Linked DNA regions of Canis lupus familiaris. The protein of the gene in region 1 interacts with the protein of each later gene in a pairwise test. Links are inferred from orthologs where the notes say so. Each region holds a gene or a part of one and is shown in the gene's direction. Other genes may lie near its edges.

What was found.
Region 2: the proteins of SDCBP2 (region 1) and ZCCHC10 interact in binary tests that used the Homo sapiens proteins (3 or more experiments, as listed by UniProt). The two-hybrid records come from large-scale screens. The link is inferred for Canis lupus familiaris from reciprocal best matches to the Homo sapiens genes SDCBP2 and ZCCHC10.
Region 3: the proteins of SDCBP2 (region 1) and NPM2 interact in binary tests that used the Homo sapiens proteins (3 or more experiments, as listed by UniProt). The two-hybrid records come from large-scale screens. The link is inferred for Canis lupus familiaris from reciprocal best matches to the Homo sapiens genes SDCBP2 and NPM2.
Region 4: the proteins of SDCBP2 (region 1) and YTHDC1 interact in binary tests that used the Homo sapiens proteins (3 or more experiments, as listed by UniProt). The two-hybrid records come from large-scale screens. The link is inferred for Canis lupus familiaris from reciprocal best matches to the Homo sapiens genes SDCBP2 and YTHDC1.
Region 5: the proteins of SDCBP2 (region 1) and LYAR interact in binary tests that used the Homo sapiens proteins (3 or more experiments, as listed by UniProt). The two-hybrid records come from large-scale screens. The link is inferred for Canis lupus familiaris from reciprocal best matches to the Homo sapiens genes SDCBP2 and LYAR.
Region 6: the proteins of SDCBP2 (region 1) and ZRSR2 interact in binary tests that used the Homo sapiens proteins (3 or more experiments, as listed by UniProt). The two-hybrid records come from large-scale screens. The link is inferred for Canis lupus familiaris from reciprocal best matches to the Homo sapiens genes SDCBP2 and ZRSR2.

The regions. Positions count from the first base shown.
Region 1 is NC_049245.1:20,190,828-20,194,327, forward strand, and holds part of SDCBP2 (syntenin-2), read left to right. Parts: intron 1-814; 5' UTR 815-833; coding exon 834-887; intron 888-1,538; coding exon 1,539-1,593; intron 1,594-2,322; coding exon 2,323-2,423; exon of another isoform or gene 2,424-2,427; intron 2,428-3,500.
Region 2 is NC_049232.1:21,275,405-21,279,668, reverse strand, and holds the start of ZCCHC10 (zinc finger CCHC domain-containing protein 10), read left to right. Parts: upstream 1-1,464; 5' UTR 1,465-1,925; coding exon 1,926-2,119; intron 2,120-4,264.
Region 3 is NC_049246.1:35,389,673-35,393,770, reverse strand, and holds the start of NPM2 (nucleoplasmin-2), read left to right. Parts: upstream 1-1,298; 5' UTR 1,299-1,334; coding exon 1,335-1,392; intron 1,393-1,496; coding exon 1,497-1,582; intron 1,583-1,733; coding exon 1,734-1,859; intron 1,860-4,098. UniProt on the Homo sapiens protein: Core histones chaperone involved in chromatin reprogramming, specially during fertilization and early embryonic development. Probably involved in sperm DNA decondensation during fertilization.
Region 4 is NC_049234.1:59,679,523-59,683,022, forward strand, and holds part of YTHDC1 (YTH domain-containing protein 1), read left to right. Parts: intron 1-3,007; coding exon 3,008-3,109; intron 3,110-3,448; coding exon 3,449-3,500. UniProt on the Homo sapiens protein: Regulator of alternative splicing that specifically recognizes and binds N6-methyladenosine (m6A)-containing RNAs.
Region 5 is NC_049224.1:70,304,479-70,308,416, reverse strand, and holds the start of LYAR (cell growth-regulating nucleolar protein), read left to right. Parts: upstream 1-1,138; 5' UTR 1,139-1,269; intron 1,270-3,938. Other genes in the region: ZBTB49 (zinc finger and BTB domain-containing protein 49), read right to left, coding at 1-20. UniProt on the Homo sapiens protein: Plays a role in the maintenance of the appropriate processing of 47S/45S pre-rRNA to 32S/30S pre-rRNAs and their subsequent processing to produce 18S and 28S rRNAs. Also acts at the level of transcription regulation.
Region 6 is NC_049260.1:12,088,425-12,092,378, forward strand, and holds the start of ZRSR2 (U2 small nuclear ribonucleoprotein auxiliary factor 35 kDa subunit-related protein 2), read left to right. Parts: upstream 1-1,154; 5' UTR 1,155-1,519; coding exon 1,520-1,560; intron 1,561-2,005; coding exon 2,006-2,085; intron 2,086-3,954. UniProt on the Homo sapiens protein: Pre-mRNA-binding protein required for splicing of both U2- and U12-type introns. Selectively interacts with the 3'-splice site of U2- and U12-type pre-mRNAs and promotes different steps in U2 and U12 intron splicing.

The DNA.
Region 1 (3,500 bases):
AAGTCAATAGGCCCTTCTGCATGAGCCTGGGATGTCTTAGCCCTGCTTAAAGCCCCCCCGGTGGCTCACCACTACTCTCAGTATCTAGCCCATATTCTCTAAAGTGGTCCCCACAGACTTCTGTTTCCTCCAGAGATTGGAACTGGTGGCTCACAGGCCATATGCAAACAGATTTTATTTGACCTTGCAGAGTACTTCATACATTCAAATTAGTTGTCTAAATGCAAAACTCAAGACACTGCCTTTAAGAAGCTTGGAGCTTTACAAGGAGAGAAGTGGAAGCCTAGGCTAAGATCAAGGCTGGAAATGGGTGGTATACAGTAGGTGCTCAAATACTCAGAGGGGAACAGGGATGTGGCTGTGAGGGAGGGATTCAAAATGCCCTGCTGCCTTTCTATTGTAATTAAGACCCCTGGAATTCTGTGCAGTTGTGGGATGATGCTGTACGCAGCAGATGCTCACTATGAACTTGCTGGAATGAATTTGGGTCTTGAGTGACCAGACCCCCTCAGCCCACCTGACCTTTGAAACTCCTGCTCTTCCTGGCCAGCGTGTCCTGGGTGGTCCCCTAGGTCTGGGGTCTGAAGCCCAGAGTCAGTTGAACAGGTGGGATGGAATTTTGCAAGGGTGGAGATATGGGCTTGGGAACAAAACAGATTTGGGTTCAGACTCAGCTCCCCCATCTCCAAAATGGGCATGATACCTTCCTGATATCTCTCTTGTCCTGAGAGTCCTGAGTGGCACCCATGGGCGCGAGGCAGACATCCATGCTTCCTCTCACCCCTCACCCCTCCTCACTCTCTGTGCCCTGAAGGGTGTTCTGAGGAACAGCCATGTCTACCCTGTACCCGTCTCTGGAGGACCTGAAGATGGACCAAGCCATTCAGGTAAGCCACTGGGCATGTGTTAGTCTAGGCCCTCGTGGGCCCTTTGTGATTGTCCCAGGGTGAGTAAGGGAGGCTTGTCTTGAAAGGTGCTGGGTGTTGCAGGTCACCACTGCAGGGCCTGCTGGTGGACAGGAGGCTAAGGCAGTGGAGTTACAGCAGGAGTGGAGAAGGCCAAGCAGCTGCAGATAGGCCTGTGCGTCCCAGCACTTCCTCCATCCCCGTTCAGGTAGACGCCACACTGTAGACAGGCTTCCAGAGTAGACCCCTTGGGCATGGCATGTGGCCTGCTCATCCCCAGAAGCTTCTTCCTTCCATCCACCTTCCATCCACCTGCAGTTCCAGTGGGTTTTGAGAATTTGGGACTTGTCGACTGAGAATTTCGTTGGGAGGTGGGTCTTGATGTTCTGGATGCCTCACGTAGCAAGCGGGTCATGACATTTGGTGGGTTGGGCGCTACAGGGAGAACCTTCCCCAGAAACATGGACATCTGCAGAGACCACATTTACACATCTCCGAGTTCCGTTGGATGCGCCACCCTACCCTAGGCCTGCCAGCATAATTAAGGCCCTGACCCTCAGCCCCAGGGAGCCCCAAGCTCCAAGGTCTGCGGGTCCTGGCCACAGCTGATCAGTGCATCTCACCTCTCCCCAGGCCCAGGCCAGAGCTGCAGCCAGGATGCCCGCCCTGCCAGTCTCCCAACCTTCAGGTGAGCGAGCCGGGGTGGGGTGCTCCTGACTGACAGTGACCTCTTGTGGCCACTTCCAAGCACTGCCTCTTGCCTGCCGCCCTGCTGTGGGCTTCCTGCACATTTTACCCCCGCCAGAACCCTCTGAGGGGACCCTGAGAATTCTGTGGCTTAGTGAGAAGACCAAATCCTCTGATGTGGGACTAACTTCTATGGCCAAGTGAGGAGACCGGGATGTTTGTGGTGGCCCCCAGAGATGATGGCAGTCCTGATTCAGGTCCTGTGGCAGCTACCTTGACCACAGGCCCACTCTTTCCCTCCTCACTGTGCATTTTCCTGGGAGCTGCCCTGGGGTCAGATGCCTGCCTCCCACAGCCCGCCTCTCCCCATCCCGTGGATTTCCTAGGAGCCGGGGCCTCACGTCCCCAGCACCAGCCCTGTGCTTGGTGTCGCATGTCTGGCTGGTGCCAAATAAAGTCTGTTGCGTTGAACAGCCAAGTGGTTCGTACATGAGGGATTCTGTGTCCCAGGCTGCTCCTGGCGAGATCACTGCCCCTCAGCCCTCCTGAGGGGAGAACCCACATCACCAGCGAGTGTTCCCTTGCCCTCTCAGGAGTAAACAGTGTCCCTGGGCCCTGTTTATTAATACAGCTGAGTGACACGGGGGAGCCAGGCAGGCGTGGCCAAGCACGCACCCCTGAGTAACACCTCTCCTCTTCCTTCCCTTCCCTTCCCTTCCCTTCCCATCAGTTTTGTACCCGAGCCTGGCGGACTTGGAAAATTATATGGGTCTTTCCCTCTCCAGCCAAGAAGTCCAGCAGAACCTGCTTCAGCTTCCAGAAGGTGCTGGTGTAGGTATTCTTCTCTTGCCTGATGTGGGCACAGAAATGTTCCAACTTGCCCTCCTTGGTTTCGCCGTTTGCACAGACTGGAAGCTCCTGCTCCCTGGCGTGCCTGCGGCTCTGTTTCTTGATGGCACTTCTCATTTTGACCCGTCATTAAAAGTGCTGTGGGGTTTCCTGCAGTCTTGGGCAGAGCTGGAGGACCACTGCCTGCCCCTTGACCTCTGGCTTCGGGCTGCTGGATGAGAAGGGAGGCGTTAAACCCAGCCTGAGCCTGGAGGCATCTAATGTAGGAGCGCCTGTGCCTTGAGAGCTGTTGCCTGGATGGCAGAGCCGAGAGGGGGAGCAGCTTGTCACCCAGCTCTGGTCCCCAAATTAAACCACAATGCTTGCTTGATTCCTGCTCTCCATGGTTTTGGGGAGCAAGAGACATCATGACACTGAAATATTCCCTCCTGAAAATACGCTCATTCAGAGACCCAGTGCCCACCCAGACCCCCTCCCAGTGGGCTCCAGCATCCCCACGGGCCGTTGGTCAGCGTGCTTGTCTGCTGTCCTGTCCCCAGGCTGCTGAAAATTGGTGGCAGAGCACAACCCCAAGTCCTGTTGAGGCTGAAGGGTTTCGTGAAGTGAAGGGAGTGAGGATGAAAACTGCCACAGCCACACACACACACACACACACACACACACACACACACAGCCACTGGCAGATGAGGGTCTGACAGGAGAAAGGCCACCAGGAAGGGGACACGTGGGGCCTGGGGTGTTTCCCCACAATAACCCCCCATAGTCATGCTGTGAAATACAAACTTCGAAGCAAAGAAAGTCCCATGGTGTATACTTCCCTTGTCAGCCTTTGACTGAATTTCTCTTCGTTCCAATAATGAGGACGTGAGTGCATTTCACTGAAATGTTGATACAAATATGACAGGTGGATTCATTTTTATAGCTAAAAGTTTTATTTTTAACTTTTTATTTTTCAATAATCATGAACTCCTGGGAAGCCACAAAGACAGTATAGAGAAGGGCACAGAAAGCTGTACCCTCCAGCGAGTGTTCCTAATGGTTATGCAGGAAGTGGCTGCA
Region 2 (4,264 bases), on another chromosome or scaffold:
AATTTTAAATTATTTTAAATTTTAAAATAGATAATAATTTGCCACTAGGGTGACAAAACCAAGCAATGTCCACTTAAATATGAAGTGAAAGACTTTTAGCATCTAAAGAGTATTTCTATTATTTCAGAAGTAATAGAAAGTTGAACAAATACTGTTTTTCTATGGAATGCCTGTATTTTGTACATGAGCTACACAGAAAAATAAAAGACAAATCTTACCTCTAGGAGCTTCTTGTCTTGTTGGCAAGAAAACAAATGGTGTATAATAAAAGTAGTCATGGTATACAGAGTAAATCCTCAGGGAGTTGGAGAAGGAGACTTTTAGCATTTAGGGGAATCTGGTAGAGTTTGGGGAATATTTTGGGGGGAGAAACAAGAGGAACCATTACTTATCATTTTGTGTTCATCAGAAAGTTTTAATGTTATTTATAAAAAGCACATATTCCATAATAACAAGTTTTAGACTTTTTTTTTTTTAAATTGGTTATAAGAAGTTGAGAAAGTACTGTTGTTCTTTTTTTAAGACTCTGGACTAGTAGAGGGGAGGGAGGAAATAAAAGAGAAAAAAAAAGAGAGAGAGAGACAGCCTAAATTTGAACTTCTTATTCAGCAGATCTTTCAGGGAGTTAACTTTAAATCAATTGAAATGAAATTACTTTCAGTTTGTTAATTGTAATTACATCTGCTTATATGTAAGTAAATTGTAGAATCTTGGCACTATCTGGGGTCATTTCTTCTGCTAAACCTTCCACTGGATTCCAGTACTGTCTTCATCATCCAGGGGAATTATCTAACTTTAGCTTGAGGACCTTCAGGAAGGACATACTTACCTCCTAAAGTAGCCCGTTAGCTTTTTCAAATCTGTCAAAAAGTTTATGTGGAACTGAAGGGAAAATAATATTTATGAAGCTAAACCCCGCTCCTTTCTAATTTCCTAGGTTTGGACCTAAACTGTGGTTTCAGTTAATTAAAAACCCTAGGTGTTGGATGCGTGGGTGGTTCAGTCAGGTAAGCATCTGCTTTCAGCTCAGGTCATAATCGCAGAGTCCTGGGATCGAGCCCCATGTCCGGCTCCCTGCTCAGTGGAGAGTCTGCTTCTCCCTCACCATCTTCCCCTCTTCCACATTATGTGCTCGCTCTCTTGCGCTCTCTCTCTCTCTCTCTCTCTCAAATAAATAAAATCTTTAAAAAAAAAAAAAAAACCTAAGTGTTAATCAAGGTGTGATCAATTGCCATCAAGTCAGGCTTCCTCTGTCTTGTATTGATTTTCAGGACTTAAGTGTTAGACTTACTTTTACCCTTGTTAAATTTCATCTTGTTAGATTTGACACTGAGTTTTACTCTGTCAAGACCTTTTTTTTTTTTTTTTTTTTAAGATTTTATTTATTTATTCATGAGAGACACAGAGAGCGAGAGAGGCCGAGACACAGGCAGAGGGAGAAGAAGGCCCCATGGAGGGACCCTGACATGGGACTTGATCTGGGGTCTCCAGGATCACGCCCTGGGCTGAAGGCAGTGATCCACCTGATCCAGCTGAGCCACCCAGGCTGCCCTCAAGACCTTTTTGGATCTTCATTTGGTCATCTTTTGTATTAGCCCTTTCTCTTAGCTTTGTGTCGGCTACAGGTTGGATAAATAGGCACATCTGTGCCCTCCCAAGTCATTTCTAAAATGTTGAACAAGTCCAAACTGAAGACCAAGGCCTCAAGCCATCACTGGATACCTCTCTATACATTTACTTCAACCTATTAAACAGTAGTCTGTTGTCCATGATGATCAACTGATCTACCTAGTTATTCTGTTTTGTTCACAAGGATGTTGTAAGAGACTTTCCAAGATGCCTTATTGAAATTCAAATACCCAAAAGCCAATAAGGGTATTAGGTATAATGATTTGATAGTTGGTGATCAGGGCTTTTCTTTCTGAATGGATTTAATAAATCTAGCCAGAATTTTGCCTGGAATGGATGTCAAGTTCAGTGTTCTACTTTGTGGAATCTACCTTTCTCCCCACTTTGAAAATCAAAACTGCATTTGCCTACTTCCAGTCTTTCACTTCTGTTTGCCAGGATCTCTCAGATTACCAGCAGCAGTACAGTCATCTCACCTGGAAAATCTCTGGTATGTTTAGGGAGCAGTTACTTGGGCTGTGTGACTTAAACATATTCAGAATGGATAGAAGGGCTCTGTTACCCACCCCTCACTATCTTGGGGTTCAGTTCTACTCTTCTAATCATGCATATAATTGTGTTTGAGTGAAGACGGAAGCAAAATTAAAATAATCCTACTTTTACTCGTAGCCTACAACATCACATTGGTGGTGTGTTCACCTAGCACCCTGAATAATGAGCTATCCGTTTTTTGGTTCTTTAAAAATAGCTTTAGGGGCAGCCCCGGTGGCGCAGCGTTTGGCGCCGCCTGCAGCACAGGGCGTGATCCTGGAGACCCTGGATCGAGTCCCACATCAGGCTCTCTGTATGATGCCTGCTTCTCCCTCTGCCTGTGTCTCTGCCTCTCTCTCTGTGTCTCTATGAATAAATAAATAAAATCTTTAAAAAATAAAAAAATAAAAAATAAAAATAGCTTTAAATATAGCTAAAACACAAAATAATTTGTGTTCTTGATATTTTTCTCAAGCTTCAGCTTATTTTGGTAAGGCATTTATTTATATTAGGTTTAGATGTTTCTGTTACAGGCCTTTGTTGTTGTTTTTTTTTTTAAGATTTTATTTATTTATTTATTTATTTATTTATTTATTTATTTATTTATGAGAGACAGATAGGGAGAGGCAGAGACACAGGCAGAGGGAGAAGCAGGCTCCATGCAGGGAGCCTGACGTGGGACTTGAGCCCAGGTCTCCAGGATCACACTCTCAGCTGAAGGCGGTGCGAAACCGCTGAGCCCCCAGGGCTGCCCTGTTATAGGCCTTTGGCACTCTACTGTATTCTTTAGTTATATGTTCCTTTGAAAAATATCTTTTATGATTTGTTTTACGATTTCACATGCAATCCATGTTCATTATAGGAAAGTTGAAAATACAGATAATGAGAAAATATGCTATAATCATACCTCAAAGATAATCATTTTTACATTTTAATGTATAACCTTTCAGGTCATTTTTAACTTTTTTTAAAAAAATATTTTATTTATTTATTCATGAGAGACACAGAGAGAGAGGCAGAAACACAGGTAGAGAAGCAGGCTCCATACAGGGAGCCCAATGTGGGACTCGATCCTGGGACCCCGGGATCATGCCCTGGGCCGAAGGCAAACGCTCAACTGCTAAACCACCCAGGCATCCCCATTTTTAACATTTTAAATGGCCTCATAGTGTTCTTTATGGATAAACAATAACTTTTGGCCATTTCCTTTGCTCTTGCATAATTATTAGGTTTACTCTTTTTTTCTTTTCTTTCTTTCTTGAGTATAGTTGACACACAATGTTATGTTACAGTTATACACTACTGATTCCACAAGTTTATACATTATGCTATGCTCCGTGCAAGTGTAGCTACCATCAGGTTTACTCTTATAAACCACATTGTATCTCCTATAATAAATATACAACTCAATTTTTGCATACATCCATTATTCTCGGTTAACTGATATAGACATTTTTAAATCCAGTTTACTGATGTTTAATTTACATTTAACAAAATTCATTTTTTTATTGAAAGAGATCATGTGTGAGCAAGTGAGGGAGGGGAGGGGCATGGGGGTGCAGAGGGAGAGAGAATCTTAAGCAAGCTCCATGCCAGAACCCAGTGTAGGGCTCAGTCTCATGACCCTGAGTCCATGACCTGAGCTAAATCAAGAAACAAATGCTTAACCAACTGAGCCACTCTCTTTTTATTTTTATTTTTAGATTTTTTTATTTTTAAGTAATCTTTCCACCCATTGTGGGGCTTGAATTTATAATCCCAAGATCAAGAGTTGCATATTCTACCAACAGCCAAGGGCTCCAAAATTTATCCTTTTTAATGTACAGTTCTATGAATTCTGACAGATACCGATAGTCAGATAATCATTACCAAAATTAAGATATAGAACAATTTTATCATGAAAAATTTCTTCATGAGCCTTTGTAAGTAAACCCTTTACCCCACCCTCAGCCTCTGGAAACCACTGATTTTTTTCTGTCCCTATAATTTTACCTTTTCTAGAATGTTGTGTGAATAGAATCTATAAACCTTTTGAGTCCAGTGTCTTTCACTTGGTTAATTAATTCATTTGAGATCCACTGAAGTTCTTGCATGTATTAATAGT
Region 3 (4,098 bases), on another chromosome or scaffold:
GTGTTAAAAAGGGGAGGAGGAGCTGATTCCTGCACAGCAGAAGCTCCAGTCAAGGTTCCAGAGACATATTTCTAGTTCCTATAGCACCATTTTGGGCAAAGACTATCATTTCCTTTTTTTTTTTTTTTAAGATTTATTTATTTATTTATGAGAGAGAGAGAGAGGCAGAGACACAGGCAGAGGGAGAAGCAGGCTCCATGCAGGGAGCCCAATGTGGGACTTGATCTCGGGTCTTCAGGATCACACCCTGGGCGGAAGCCGGTGCTAAATCGCTGAGCCACCCGGGCTGCCCAAGACTATCATTTCCTTATTGAAAAGCATTGAGCGCTATATGTAGGTGCGAAGTTTCCTGGATGGGAGTGAAGGATGCAAGTGCAATGAGATCAACTATGCTTCATTTAAAGGAAAGAAGGAGGGAAAGAGGAAGGAAGGAAGGAAGGAAGGAAGGAAGGGAGGGAGGGAGGGATTAGAACTGAATCAGAGAGATCCCTGTTTTCTTCTGACTCGCAGAGATGTCACAGGAGGGAGACAGGGGGGATGTGGTCAGATGAAAACCCCCTCACCCTCACCCCCCCACCCCCCGCAAACATTTAATGCTCCGCTGTGCCCTGTGAGCTGCCCTTCAAGGGTGTCGGGTGGGGTATTCCTCACCCGCTGCCACGGCGGCCTCTGCTGACCAAACGCATTCGCCCTCTTGCTGGCCCCGGGAGAAACCCTCCTCCGGGAACAGGGCTCTTCCTCTCTGGGGACCGTGACCCTGGGGGTCCGGGCCTCCCGGCCTTGGAAAAGGCCCCCACCTAGGGGGGAGGGAGAGGGCAGGCCACCCACGCCGGGCAGCCTCACCCATCAGGCCTCGGCGAGTCCCCAGGGGCCGCGAACGAGGCGCTCGCAGCCGGGGCCTGGGGCAGCAGCAGCACCTTCACCTGCGAACCCGTTAGAAATGCGAAGCTCCCTGGGCGGCCCCAGCCCGCCGTGCCGAGCCCCGCGCAGGTGGGAGGGGCGGAGCTTCAGCGGCCGCAGGTGCGCGGGGCAGCCGGCGGGAAGGGCTGGGGAGCAGACTGCGGCAGGAGGGCCCCTCCTTTAAGGCTGGGGAGGCGCCCCTGCCGCGCCCCGCGGGCCTCCTGACAGCCGACCCGACGCGGCCCCTTTCCAGCCCCGGCGACCTCGGCGCCCAGCGCCCCGCCTCCCGCAGGCCGGGGGCTCGGGATCGGGGGGGAGGGATGCGGGGCGAGCGGGGCTGGGGGCCCGGCTCTGCTCACCGCGGACGCCCCTCCCGCACAGCCGCCGCGCCCCCCGCGCCCCGCGCGCCCCCCGCGCCCCCCGCGCCCCGCGCCATGAACCTCAGCAGCAGCAGCAGCGCTGCCGAGAAGGCGCCCGCAGCCGTGCTCTGGGGTGAGCGAGGGCCCGGCTGCTCCCGAGCCGGGTGGGGGAGCGGGGCGGGGAGCCGGGGAGCCCCCTCCCCCTGAGCCGGCCCCCTCGCTCCTCTCCCTTCTCAGGCTGTGAGCTCAACCAGGAGAAGCGGACCTGGACGGTCAAACCCCAGAAGGAGGGCAAGCAGGACTCGAAGCTGTTGCTCTGTACGGTGGGTGCCGCGCACCCCCCCCCCCCGCCCCCGGGAAGGGCGGCCGCCTGCAGCCCGAGGGGCCTGCACAGCTGCGGGGGGCGGGGGCAGGCGGACTCTCGGGGACCAGACCGCTCCGGTGGTGAGGGGGCCTGTCTTCAACCGCCCTCAGATTTGCTTGGGGGAGAAAGCCAAAGAAGAGATGAACCTGGTGGAAATCCTGCCCCCGGCCAGCCCGGACGACAAACAGGCCAAGCCCATCACCATCGCCTCGCTGCAGGCCTCCGTGCTACCCATGGTGAGCCTCTCCCCGCCGGCTTCGGGAGACTGCCCGCCCTGGGCACCTGCTCAGGCCTCACCCCCGGGGAGCGGATGGGCAGGCCCAGAGAGGGGGTGCAGGCCTCCTGCAGGGGGGCAGCGCTGCCAGAGAGGCCCTGTAGCCCATGACCGAGAGCCCTGGGTTTGGAGGCAGAGAGCCCCACTTCCATCCCAGCCCACCCTTTCCTAGCTGCGTGACCTTGGGCAGGTCCACCGCTCTTCAGAATCACCTTTTTTTTTTTAAAGTTTTTGATGCTGCTGAGAGGACACTGTTGATGACTTCCATACTGATTGTCCATCCAGAAACTCTCTTATTTCTAATAATTTATCATGAGTTCTCTTTGCAAATCATCATTGTTAATGGCATTTTTGTGTGTCTTTTTTAATCTGACTATGCTGCCTAGGGTCTCCAGTATAATATCGGGTAAGATTATAACGGTAAATGTCCTTGTTTCATTCTTGGTGTGTGTATGTGTGTGTGTGTGTGTGTGTGTATACACACATATATATCGTGTGTATATATATATCTTGATATATATATCATGTATATTTTTATAGCTTATTTATTTGAGAGTGTGTGTGAGCATGGTGGGGAGGGGCAGAGGGAGAGGAAGAAAAAATCTTAAGCAGACTTGGAGCTGGTGCAGGGCTGACCCTGAGATCATGACCTGAGCTGAAACCAAAAGTCTGCTGCCTAACTGAGCCACGCAGGTGCCACTCTATGTATATTTTGAAAGGAATGCTTCTAATGTTTCTCCACCATGTTTCTCCACATGTTTGGTAAGCCTAGTCCTGCTCTGCCTTTTAAAACTGGGATTTCTTCATTTTAATCGTAAATGGTTATCAAATGCTTTTCTATTCAGGTCACCATAAGCTCTTTTTTCTTTAACCTGTTAATGTGGTAAGTTATATTAATAGAATACTATTCAACCAACTTTGCATTCCTGACAAACACTACTTGATCATACTATAAATTTCTACATTTGCTTTGCTAATATATTAAAACTTATATTTAAAAAAAAACCTTATATACTCAGGAGTTTATAGGCCAACCACACTTATCTTATTTGAGTGTCAAGCGATACTAGCCTCTCGAACTAGGGGATGTAGTGTTCTCTCCTTCTATGTGGTGGAACAGTGAATGTGAGACCAATGTCCTCTGTCCCTAATCCGGGAGGTTTATCTGTAAAACTGCCCTCAAACCCTTTTTTCCCTTCTATCTATGAGATTTCCCTAGACCATTCCTTGCCAGGGTTTTAAAGACCATTTATGCAAATGAACACTCTGGTATTTATTTCTGCCACTCTCTTTCATGCTCCAAATCCTCTGTCCAACTCAATATATTTAATAGCTATCTAGGAGAGAACCCATACTTAACAAATCTAAATCCAAACTCTTGATTGTTATCTATAATCTCTTCCCCCACCCCCAAACCTGATCCTCTCCCAGGATATAATTGCTCTTCCAGTTAATCAGGACAAAAACTTCCTTCTCAAACACTGCATATCACCAGCAAATCCTGTTGGCTCTACCTTGAGAGTATACACCAGTCTGACCACCTCTCACCACCTCCCTTCTATACCCTGGTCTGGATGACCATTACCTCTTGCTCAATTTTATTGCAGGGCCTCCTATCTGGTCTACCTACCTCAACCCTTGGTTCCTTATAGTCTGTCTATTCCAGGGTTCGACAAACTGCAGGATTAAACCCAGCCCAATGCCTATTTTTGTAAATAAAGTATTATTGAAACACAGCCACACTCTTATGCCTGCTATTTTCCCTTGGTAACAGCAGAACTGAGTCATCTCCACAGAGACCGTATGGTTCATAAGCCTTAAATATGTATCAAATACAGAAAAAATTTCCCCAACCCCTGGTCTATTCTATGCACAGCTGCCAGAAGGATCCCTGTATTGTTTATTGTTTTGTTTTGTTTTTTAGCATTTAAGTGATCTCTACACCCAATGTGGGGCTCAAACTAAGACCTCAAGATCAAGAGTTATATATTCTTCGGACTGAACCGGCCAGGTACCCCTAGAAGGATCCTTTTAAAAGTCAGACCATGTTGCTTCTCTGCTAGAACAGTTAGGTCAGTGGTTTCCCATTTCACTTAGGATGAAATCCAAGATCATTTATGTTCTAGCCCGCAAAAACCTCTCTCAATTCCAACCTCTGCTACTCTCTGCTCCCTAACCCTATTCAAACCACGCTGGCTTCC
Region 4 (3,500 bases), on another chromosome or scaffold:
CAGGATTACACCCTGGGCTGCAGGCAGCGCTAAACCGCTGCGCCACCAGGGCTGCCCCCACAGTTCGATTATTGATATCATGAAATATAAAATGGATAAAAATAAGTGGACCGTTAAGTGAGGATGTAGTGTTTGATCTTAAAGTAAATTTCAAGATGCTATAATGTCAATTATACAGAGCTCTGTGGTACATTAGTTTTTTTTTTTTTTTAAAGATTTATTTATTTATTCATGATAGACACAGAGATTGAGAGAGAGGCAGAGACACAGGAGGAGGGAGAAGCGGGCTCCATGCTGGGAGCCCGACTTGGGACTTGATCCCAGGACTCCAGGATCGCGCCCTGGGCCAAAGGCAGGCGCCAAACCGCTGAGCCACTCAGGGATCCCCTAAACATGACTCTTTAATAATATTTTGCATTTTTGTTATACTTTGTTTAAAGGTTTTTTTTTTTTTTTTTTTTTTTTTAATACTCCCCATCTAATTTAACTCTAGATTTAGAAAACCTGAACTGTAGGCTTGTACCCATCTATCTCTAGACATGAATTTGGCCACCCTATACTTATGTATCTGTGAAGTAATAGATGATAAACCATACTTTAGGTGTTTCGTATATGTATATAAGATACGTGTGAAAGTGCCAAATGTTAAAAAAAAGTATTGCTTAATATTTGTTGTCCTAAAAATTTGTAGCTTAAAAACAGCAGCCAGTCTCTGCATTTGACTTAATACAGTTAAGACTTTTTAAAACAATACCTTTTTGTAGGGAACCCATGATTTAAATATGCCTGAAATTTGCATTGATTTAAATTAACCTGAGCAGTTCCTTCATTCTGTGTTAGATTTAGCATATATAAAGTATATAACTTCATTTAAATGTTCAGGCTTTCCGGTTGATTCTGTAATACAAAGCTAGTAATTTCATGGAAAGATTTGTGTAGCACTATACTTACTTAATTGCCTATTTCATTGTGATAGGTTTTTTTTTTTTTGGTTTAGAAATGTAATTTTTGTGAAGATTGTTGGATTTACTTTTTTATTGACTAGAGAGCTAAAGTAAGGAAATCCATATAGTATGTATATTCATTTTAGAAAAATCGTAAAGTCCACTCTTTTTTTTTTTTTTTTTTTAAGATTTATTTATTTGACAGGGTGCACAGCGGCTGAGCCACCCAGGTGCCCCCTTGATGTTCTTGGCAGCAACTGTTGACTCAAAATACTAAGGAAGATGTTCTCTTAAACAGTAACTGTGTCTGACTCCAAATACTGAGATGTTACTTTTTCTGTACCCTGTGTAACCTTGTTTTCTTTCATATACCTACATTAAATATTTTAGTTCTCTTCAGTCACTGATTTCTGTCCCCCTTTGGAGATACTTTAGTTTCATTAACCTGTTTATAGACCTTAAGTCAGGTCAGTAGCCCTTGCTATAATTTTGAATGGGCTTTGCTTTTTGACTGGAACCATAAATGTAATTGTCCTGTCTCATCAGTGTTCATGACTTTATATTTCCCTTTACCACACTTTAAATTTGGGAAGATAAGCACCAGAATGCTTAGGTTCAAAGCATTTACCATTAGCTTTAGTGTATTATTAAAAAAAAAATCAATTTTATTTATTTTTAAAAAGATTTTTTTGTATTTGAGAGTGAGCATGAGCAGGGGCAGATAGAGAAGCAGGACACACCCCCCGCCCCTGCAGGAGGGAGTTGGACCTGAGGCTCAGTCCCAGGACCTGAACTGAAGGCAGATGCCTAACCAGCTGAGCTACCCAGGCACCCCTATTAAAAAAAATTTAAAGTAGTAAATATTTGCATGTATTTCTAGGATTTATTTTGTTCTGTTGGATGTGGCAGGAATTAAGGATGCAGTGCAAATACTGAGTTACAGGTTTTCATGATCATTAGTATGTCAGTTATAGTCAGTAGTTCTCTTGTCTAAATAAGTTAACATGTTTTATAGTTTGTATCAGCAGCCTGAAATGCTTTTGATTGTGTAGCACAAAAGTACTCTGTGTGTGTGTGTGTGTGTGTGTGTGTGTGTTGACATTTGGACAGAATAGCTATAAGAATAGTACAATATTATTGTTATTATTATTATTTTTTATTTTTATTTTTTTTACCTTTCAACCACTCCACAAATGTTGACTTCCCATATTATTTTTCTTGAGGTCATTTGCCCCTAATTTTCTCTGTGGATACATGCAGACACTTTTTCTGAACCAAATGTCAGTTGCAGGCATAATACTTTTTTGTTCTTGAATACTTAAGTATGTATTTCCTAAGAATTAGGACATTTACTTAATGATAGTATTATCAAAATCAGGAAACAGTGATATTTATAGACCTTATTATAATTTCACTAGCTTCCCAGTTATGTTTTTTATTCAGTTATCATGTCTTTTTTATCCTCCTTTAATCTGGAGTAATTTCTTACTGCTTGTAGTGCATGACCTTTCATTTTGGTTTATTTGATATTTTCTCACATATAGGTTCAGAGTTTGAATATCACAGATGTGTGCATCATGCCAGGTGGTCTGTGATACTGATTTGACTCACCTTGGTTAAGTTTGAATCTGTCATCTTCCTCTACTTAAAATTATTTTTTCTTGGTAATCAATAAGTATCTTGAGTACACATCCTTATTTAAGTGTGTGTGTTTATGTTACCTGCATGTATTTCTGTACTAATATTTTGTGTACGTTTTAGAGCAGTTAGAAAAATGAGAAATTATGTGATGAGATACAGATACAGAAGTTCTTGACATTTTCTTTTTTCGTAGTTTATCCTTTCATATCCTATGGGGTGGGTGTATACTACTCCTGGCTTTGTAGGTCTGTATCATGTTCTTTACTGTGAATGGTTTTATAGAATTAGTCTTGTATTTGGTCCTGAAATAAAAGGTCTTTGAGGGTTATGTTTTCATATTTACTTAGACCCAACATAGTAGTAGTAGAAGATAAATGCTTCATGGTAATGATTTTTCCCTATTTTTAATTCTTTGCTTTCAGATGGAGAACTTAATGTTCTTGATGATATTTTGACTGAAGTACCAGAACAGGATGATGAACTTTATAATCCAGAGAGTGAACAAGATAAAAACGAGAAGAAGGGTATGTAATATTTTTAAATTTTGTTAAAATAAGTTTAAATAAAGATTTAATTTATTAAGAAAGTGACTTTTTTTTCTTATTCCTTGAATCTGTTAACACCAAAGTACAATCATAACAAACTATGGTACCCAATTCTATATGAATAAAAGTGATCTATTGTTTTTCAAATGTGTAATATTTATATTTGCAAGCTTTTTTTAATGATTAACATTTTAGAAAATATTTTAAAGAAATTAGCCTTTTTTTTTTTCTCTGATACATATTATCTGTCAGTCTTTGGTGAAACAAATAGAATGCCTAAAATACTTTTATATGCTTTCTTTAAATTGTATTTTTAAGGATCAAAAAGAAAAAGTGACCGAATGGAATCTACTGACATCAAGCGACAAAA
Region 5 (3,938 bases), on another chromosome or scaffold:
GAGTCCCTTTCTTGCTTCATCACCACCCGTCTCTCGGCCTTTGAGTTTTGTCAGCCTCTGTCTCGGGCCCCAGGGCCACGTGCTCTGGCACCCTCGTGCCCCGGACTCCGGGGAGACGAGAACGCCGCTGTCCTGGAGATACCAAGTGAGGGAAATCCAAATTAACTTGGAGGAGGAAGGTCAGGGAAGACTTCTTGAGGAAGAGACATGTGAGCCGAGTGAAGGCTGAAAGCTTGAGCTACAGAGACAGGCTCGAGAGAGGCCCCCTCCTGGGGATTTCCTGGGGGAGCACATGGAAACAGACGCGCAGGGCCCAAGCGCCTCAAGCATCCTGCTCTTGAAACCTCCAGGCCACGCTGTCAGTCACTTCTGTTGGAACAACGTTTTCTTCCCGGCCCGTTCCGGTGAATCCCTTCTGTGATGGCCTGAATCCTGCCCCCCGCCTCCCCCCCCCAGGGCCCTGCGGACGTCCCGGCGAGAAGGGCGGGTGCGGGCCCGGCGCGGCGCGGGGGATGCCCCAGTGCAAACCCCGCCGGAGGCCGCCGCCGGGCCCCCGCCTCCGCAGCCGCCGGAAAACCGCCGTCGGCGGGCCGGGCAGACCCACGCAGGGCCCTTCAGGCGCAGCCCCCCCCCCCCACCCCCGCCGCCGCCCCCGCCCCGGGATCACCCTCCTCCCGGCGCCGACCCCGACCCCGACCGCGCGGCGTCCCTGCGGCCGCGGCACGCGCGCTCGGCTCCACGGGACCTGGGCCGCCGCGGGCCCGGGCGCTGCCCCCGACCGAGGCCGCCGCCCCCGGAGGCCGAGGGCCCGCCCGGGGCGGGGCGGGGCGGGGGGAGCCCGGGACCGCAGCCGGCCGCCGCGCGACCCTCAGGCTGCCCGGGGCGGGAGTGGCGGCGGCGGCGGCCCCGGCCTAGGCCGGCTCCCTGCGCCGCGCCCTCGCGAGGCCGGCCTTCCCGCCAGACGGCACCTACCGGAGAGGCCGCTCCCCGCCCCGCCGCCGCCGCCGCCGCCGCCTCTCCGCCAGCCGCCGCCTCTCCGCCAGCCGCCCTCAGCGCCGCTCGCCGGGCGCCGCCGGCCGCGGAACCATCCCGACAACGCCCCCTCGGCCGGCCGGATCCGCCTCCGGCTTCCGGGGACGTCACTTCCGCCGGGACGGCGCAGGCGCGGGGGGGCGCCCGGAGGGAGGCGGCTGCGGCGCGGGACGGGCGGCTGCGTCTCCACGTGCTCCTCGCGGCGGGTTGAAACCGTTGGCGGGCGCCGGCGGAGAGGTGAGGGGCGGCGCCGCGGGAGGCTGGGGCTGGGCGGGCGGTGGGCTGGCGCCGGCGTTTCCACCGCTGGACCCCTCCTGGGGCTTTCCCCGCGGAAGGACGAGGCGGGCCGTCCCGTGGCCTTCGTCCCGCGGGCGGCGAAGAGCCTGGTCGGAGGCGGGACGGTCCTCGCGCAGGGTCCCCGCGGGGCTGGGCTGCGGCCGGCTGCGAGGCGGGCCAGCTCGCGCTCCCCGAGGCCTGGGGGGCTGCGTCCCTCCGGGGCGGCCTGGACCGACGGAGGGCGCCCCGGCCGCCGCCCGCGACTCAGGTCTGCCCCTAGCTCCGCGGGTGACCTGCGAGTTACTCCTCCTGTGCCGCCGTTTGTCGGTCTACGAAGGGGCGAACACAGAACCCGAGATCTGCTGCGAGGATTGCACGCGCGCAGACCTGTTGGCCACCCAGGACGGGGCTGCCTGCAGCACCTGCTTCCGGGGAGACTGGGGAACGGCGTGGGGGGTACTTGCACGGCTGACCTCCCTGCGGAGGGCTCCTTGGGACTCACCCAGCACCCCCAGGCCCAGAGCCTAGCACAGCGCGTCTGACCCGCGCTAGACTTGCACGGATACCGATACACCCAAGGGATGCTGGTGATGTAGTTCTGGGGAGGCGGGGGGACATGGCTCCACTGGCCCCGCCTCGGTGCGCCCATCTGTTGGGTGGACATAGATGTACCTGCCTCACAGGGTGAGTGCACATGGGGAGCCTCGTCACCCCGCAGGCTGAGGCCACATGGGAGGCAGTGTGTACTCCTCTGTCCTTCCCTTGCGCCATACCCTTCGTGTCTTGGAATTCCACCCCTGGAAGGGGCTCCTGGCACCTCGCTTCACAGATGGGAGGACCCGAAGCTAAGAGGGGACAGTGACTTGTTGGAGGTCGTGGGGCTCACTGGGAATTGCGCTGTGGTTGCCAGCCTGCCCCCCCCCCCCCCCCCCCACCTCACAGGTGGGCTGTTTGAGGTTTAGGTCTGCGCCTACATGCCTGTGCGAGAATGTTTAAAGAATAGGGAGTGTAGTGTTTGCAGAAATAAACAATATAAAAATGTAAAGGCAGGAAGGTTTAAAAAGAACTCTAGAACCCAATTCTAGAACTAAATATGAGGCCCTTGTATCAGGTAACAGGGTGGTGGAGTGGGCAAATTAATAGGTCATAGGAAATACTTTCTACTGTTGGGTAAGGATGAATCTTTCCTATTTCTTATCTTCCACACAAAGCTCTTAAGATAGATTTTGGACCCATTTTATAGATGAACAGAATCTGGGAAGTTAGGATAGCTTGAGGTCATTTTTCATTGGTAGATGCTGGCTCCAGCTCAGATCTCTGGCCCTGAGTCAACAACATTCAACCAAACAGGGCCACCATCCTGGTAAGAGGACCCCTGAGGTGTCCCAAGTCCCTCATAAGTTCCCAGCCCCTTGTTATTGCTGCCTGCTCCCCTCAACTCAGACTCATTTTCTGACACCTGACCTCAGTTGTGACAAGGATGGTATCTCTGCTCGGTGTAAAATGGAAGGTCACTGTAGAGCCTTTGCTGTTTTTGCTCTTTTTTTTTTTTTTTAGTTTTTCTTTTGGGATGAGGGCCTCCGGCTTCTGCTCACTGAGTAGTGGCCAAGCAAACGGCGAAAAACATGACAAGTCAAGAGAGAGGAGCAGGGCAGGAGCTTGTCTCAGGCTACCTCTGCCACTCCCTATGTCTCCAGCCTAATCACTTAACCTCTCTGAGCCTCCACTATTTCTTACAGATGCTGGGGTGGTAATGTGATCATACCTGTTGTAGAGGTGTTGGGTGCAATTCTGACTATTAGTATGAAGTGGCTTTATGGAGAGCTAGCGATCGTGTTCTGTAACTCATCATCTTTTTCTTGGCTTGTAGCATGTGCTGAGAAGATCATAAGGTGAACGGACAGTCAGAAGCTCACACAGGGACTGGCCTCCTTTGGGGAAGGCACCCGGGTGCATGTGGATCCCAGTGCACACTCGGCATTGACCAGAGGTCTGCCGAAATGAATCACAGTGACTTAACTGGAGTGAAAACTTGAGTATGCTTTTGACTAGTCCACGAACACTGCTTTCTCTTTTCATGGGTCCCCATCTCTAGATGGAAGAGCACACAGAATCTCTGTGGCTGGGCAACCCCCGTGGCTCAGCGGTTTAGCGCCACCTTCAGCCCAGGGTGTGATCCTGGAGTTCTGGGATGAGTCCCGTGTCGGGCTCCCTGCATGGGAGCCTGCTTCTCCCTCAGCCTGTGTCTCTGCCTCTCTCTCTCTCTCTCTCTCCATCTCTCATGAATAAATAAAATCTTTAAAAAAATCTCTGTGGCTATCCTGAGCCAGGAAAGGAAAAGGGGATCTTTATTTAGCCCAATGAAGCATGCCATCATGTCTTTACACGGTGGGCTAAAAGTTGAAATATGTAATATCTGAGCCCTGTGGATAGGGTATCATAACGTCTTAATGCAACTGGCTTTCAGCTTTCCAAATTGCCAAAAGTATAAATGTTACACATTTACCAAAAACATCCATTTGAAAGTTTAAGGTTCTTTCACATTTACTTAGTTTTGTGAGATTTGTGGAAGTTTAAATTTTTAAGGCAGTGCTTGCCCTCTTCCCTTAGAGGGACTGAATTTTCAGAAG
Region 6 (3,954 bases), on another chromosome or scaffold:
TGAGCCAGACAAATTTAATTTGGAGGTATATTATTCCAAGTATCTCTCTAAGAGGGAGTAGGGCAAGGCTTTATGCAGTTTGGGGGTTTGCTGAGTGATTCCAAGGATGGACTAGGAGAAGCAGGTGCAGTTTAGTAATTGGGTAGCTCAGTGATTTTGAGTTGGAGGAGAAAGGAACAAAGCTAGGCCAGGGAAGTTATCCAATCTTCCTCAAAATATGGAGGTTGTTAATCATTCTGTAGCTACAGCATGTCCTCAAGAGAAGCATTCTTTTTTCTTGTTCTTGTCTTTGCCCTTGTATATGTACATCACAGTCTGATTATTGACAGGGCTGATTTTACTTTCTCAATCCTATTTTCACTGTCCCAGTTTAATGTCTCATCTAGATTGTGATATTGCAGCTTTATATTGCAAACCAGAGTAATTTACCTAAGACATGAATGGGACAACAAACCTCAACTTAAAAGCTTTTAGATGGTTTCCTGTTGCTTACAGAACGTAATTAACGCTTCTTAGCATAATTTGCTAGGCCGTTCTACATAACCCAGGCCTAAGCCACCTCAACCGCTGTTGCTTTTTTAAAATATTTTATTTATTTATGAGAGAGAGAGAGAGGCAGAGACACGGGCAGAGGGAGAAGCAGGCTCCATGCAGGGAGCCCAACGTGGGACTCGATCCCAGGACCCCAGGATCACGCCCTGGGCCGAAGGCGGCGCTAAACCGCTGAGCCACCAGGGATCCGAACTCGCTGTGTTCCCTGATACTCTGGAACTTCCCTTTAAATTCGATGGTCAAAAATTTTTGCGGTTGCGACCAATTCCACATTGCTCCACTTCTCAGTGCCTTTGCTTATGCGCATTTGCCATTCCCACCCGGGAATCTCGCCGTTACCTTCCTGAAAACTCAGGCATCAGAAAGTTCTCCCTGAATCCCCGGTGGCCTGTTAAGTAAACTACGTTCCCTCTACCATATTTATCAATGTGTCGGTTCTTTTGTGCCTCTAGACAGCACATTCCTTGGGAGCAGAAGTCAGGCGTTTACAGCCCAGGTGTTGGGTTTCCCTTCTGAGGTAGCAGGTACGACGAGAACGGGGCGGAGTCTGGAGTTCGTCTGAGGGGCTGATAGGTGGGCCCGCGGAAGGCGAGTGACGTAGTGGGACGAGGTTTCGTGAGTGGATGGGAACGAGAAAGAAATGGGACTTTAACTTCCTGGCCACAAGACAGACTGCTATGGTGTGGGGGCAGGCAGTGATAAGGCAGTGGGGGAGCGCTAGGAGGGAAGAATTACTTTCAGGGACACGAAAGAATTTTCGGGAAGAAGACATTTGTTGGTGGGCGTTCTGGAAGACTACCCGCCCCCCGGAACCTGGCGTCTTCCGTACTTGGTCCTCCCCGGCGGAGGCACGCTCCCCCCCCCGACCCCCCCTTGCGCCTGCGCGCGGCCGCGCCCTTGCTCTTAATCCCGCCTCTTCCGGCCACCTCTACGGGTGGGGTGCTGGGGGTGTGGTGGCCCTGGCAAGATGGCGGCTCCCGAGAAGATGATGTTTCCGGAGAAACCAAGGTAAGCTGGGTTGGGGGGGTAATGAGCCGCTGAGAAGACGGGACGGGGCCAGCCGAGCCTGGTGATGAAGGATGTGCAAGCCGGAAGGAAAGGGGAGCTGGGCCAAGCAGGCGAGGCACTGCTGCCGCTCGAGCCCTCCCCTTGATGCACCCCGGACTGTCAGGGGCGCCTGTGGGCTGAGGTAATGCGAGGAGGTGAACAGGTGGCGGAATGGAAAAGACCTGCCGGCTGGTCATGGAATGGCGAGGCGATAGTGAATACGTGTTCCGTAATTAAAGCACGGGAAATAAGAATTCACTCCCGGGCACCGGAGCGATTTCCTGTCACTCAGAGCGGCTAGGGGGCGGGAGGCGACGGGGGGGCGACGGGGGGCGCGTGAGCACGCTCTGGCAGCGGCGCAGGTGCGGTCAATTGACGCTAGTGTGTGCCTGTTTCAATTTTCCAGCCACAAAAAGTACAGGGCTGCCCTGAAAAAGGCGAAACGAAAGAAACGACGGCAGGAACTGGCTCGATTGAGAGACTCAGGTAACCGGCTCCTTAGCCCGTTTTCTGTGTATGAAATTGCTCTCTCCGCTCCCGTCCTAACTTGAAGCCCCAGTGCCAGAGGAAGCCAAGTACTGACCTGCTGAAAATCGCTGCGCCTATTGCCTTCCAAATAAAGTGATCTTAGACCCATTTCACAAACGATATTAAAGTACTAAAGGGGGAAAGACGTCATGCTAAATCAATCCCTGATTGTGTGTATTTATGAAGTATCTGGTATTACCGGTGCAGACATCATGAATTACAGCAGCTAGCACAGCCCTTGCACATAGTAAGTATTCAGCGAATATCTTCATCTAAAACCAGCAGGACTTGAGGGGTTTACACATTTTGCAAATTTTTCTCAAACTTCAGTAACATGGGAGACCCTTTGACTCAAATTATTATTGTCATTTAAATATACACAAGCATAAAACCAGATATGAAACTCTTATTAGACTATAAAACAATACATGTACAGGTTATAAAGCCAAGTGAAATTACACATCCAGTAAAATTCAAATTTAGATTAATGTAACATTAGGAATGAGGTAAAACAAGCTTACAGCATGAATATGGTACTGAGTGGAGTTGGGAGTGCCACTACTGTTGCCCTCTGGTTATTTGCCAGTTGTTTTTCCTATTAAAGTGCTTGTGGCACCTTCATCTGTACTGGCTATGGTATCATTTATCCTTCACGTGTCAGAATCTAACAAATATATATTAAACCTGCCTGTTTAATACAGCAAAATTAGTACTAATTTACAAAATTATATATTAGTTATAAATGTGGATGGAAGCACTGAAATCGCACAGCAGTACTGTGTTATGTTTGCATCTAGACTATCCAGGCAATCCTCAGACCTTTTTATTTATTTTGACATATAACTGATTACTTTGTAATGATTTGGTACTTGTGTACATTGCAATAATGTATCTAGACAATTCTTACAGTCCACAGGCAAGGGCCTCAAGTAACCAGTATTCAGTATTCACTAGCCATGTGAAACATAGTTGTAGACATGTAAATTACTTTTTGATTATTTTTAGAAGCGATACTTGGAATATTTAGAATGGGAGGAGCAGGGTGTTTACCTGTGACCTGTTACCATCTCTCTTTTATTCAAAACTGGACCACTAAAGGCAGGACAAAGCATCAGGGATAAAAAACAAAAGGAAAAAAGAGTAGGTTGGAGTTATTGATGCCCTTGGTGTCTGTGCCCCCCCTTCCCCTCAATAATCTTAGCTACCTTTTTTAACTTAGCCTGTGTTTTTCCAATATAACTTCTTTTTTAACTTCTTAATCATTTTCTCCCCTGTTCTAAATCCTAGAACTATTGTTTGTATTGTGTTGAATTTTTTTTCCCCTTTTGACTTCACAGAGTGCTTTCAGAGTGAGCCTTTGTGGAGAGGTGTGGGTGGGATCATGTCCTTTGGCAGTCTAGTCAGTTGAAGAATGCAGTGACTGCATCAGGCTTATACAGCTAATGGCAGATCTAAGTCTAAGTACTTGTCTCTGGACTACTGCTCCTACTTTGGCCCACTCCAACTCCTAATTATTTACTCAGTGGTGCTTCGTGAATAGTGTGGCCTACCAAACATTGCTGTTCATTGTAGCACACATTGGATGGGCAACCAATACCCAGAAGGCTAGAATAGGGACATAGTCTATAAGAATTGCTGTAAGACCAAGTTGGAAAATGAGTGGTAGGAGTTTCTGGAATTTTGACCTCATTTGCAGATAGCCTCTTTAGCATCCAGTTCTACTTGAAATAGCTTGTGATGAGCTGCCTTGTCAGAAATTAAGGTGACATTAAGAATAAAAATCAAGTTGCATGATTCTAATACATATGATTGTATGTATGATACAAT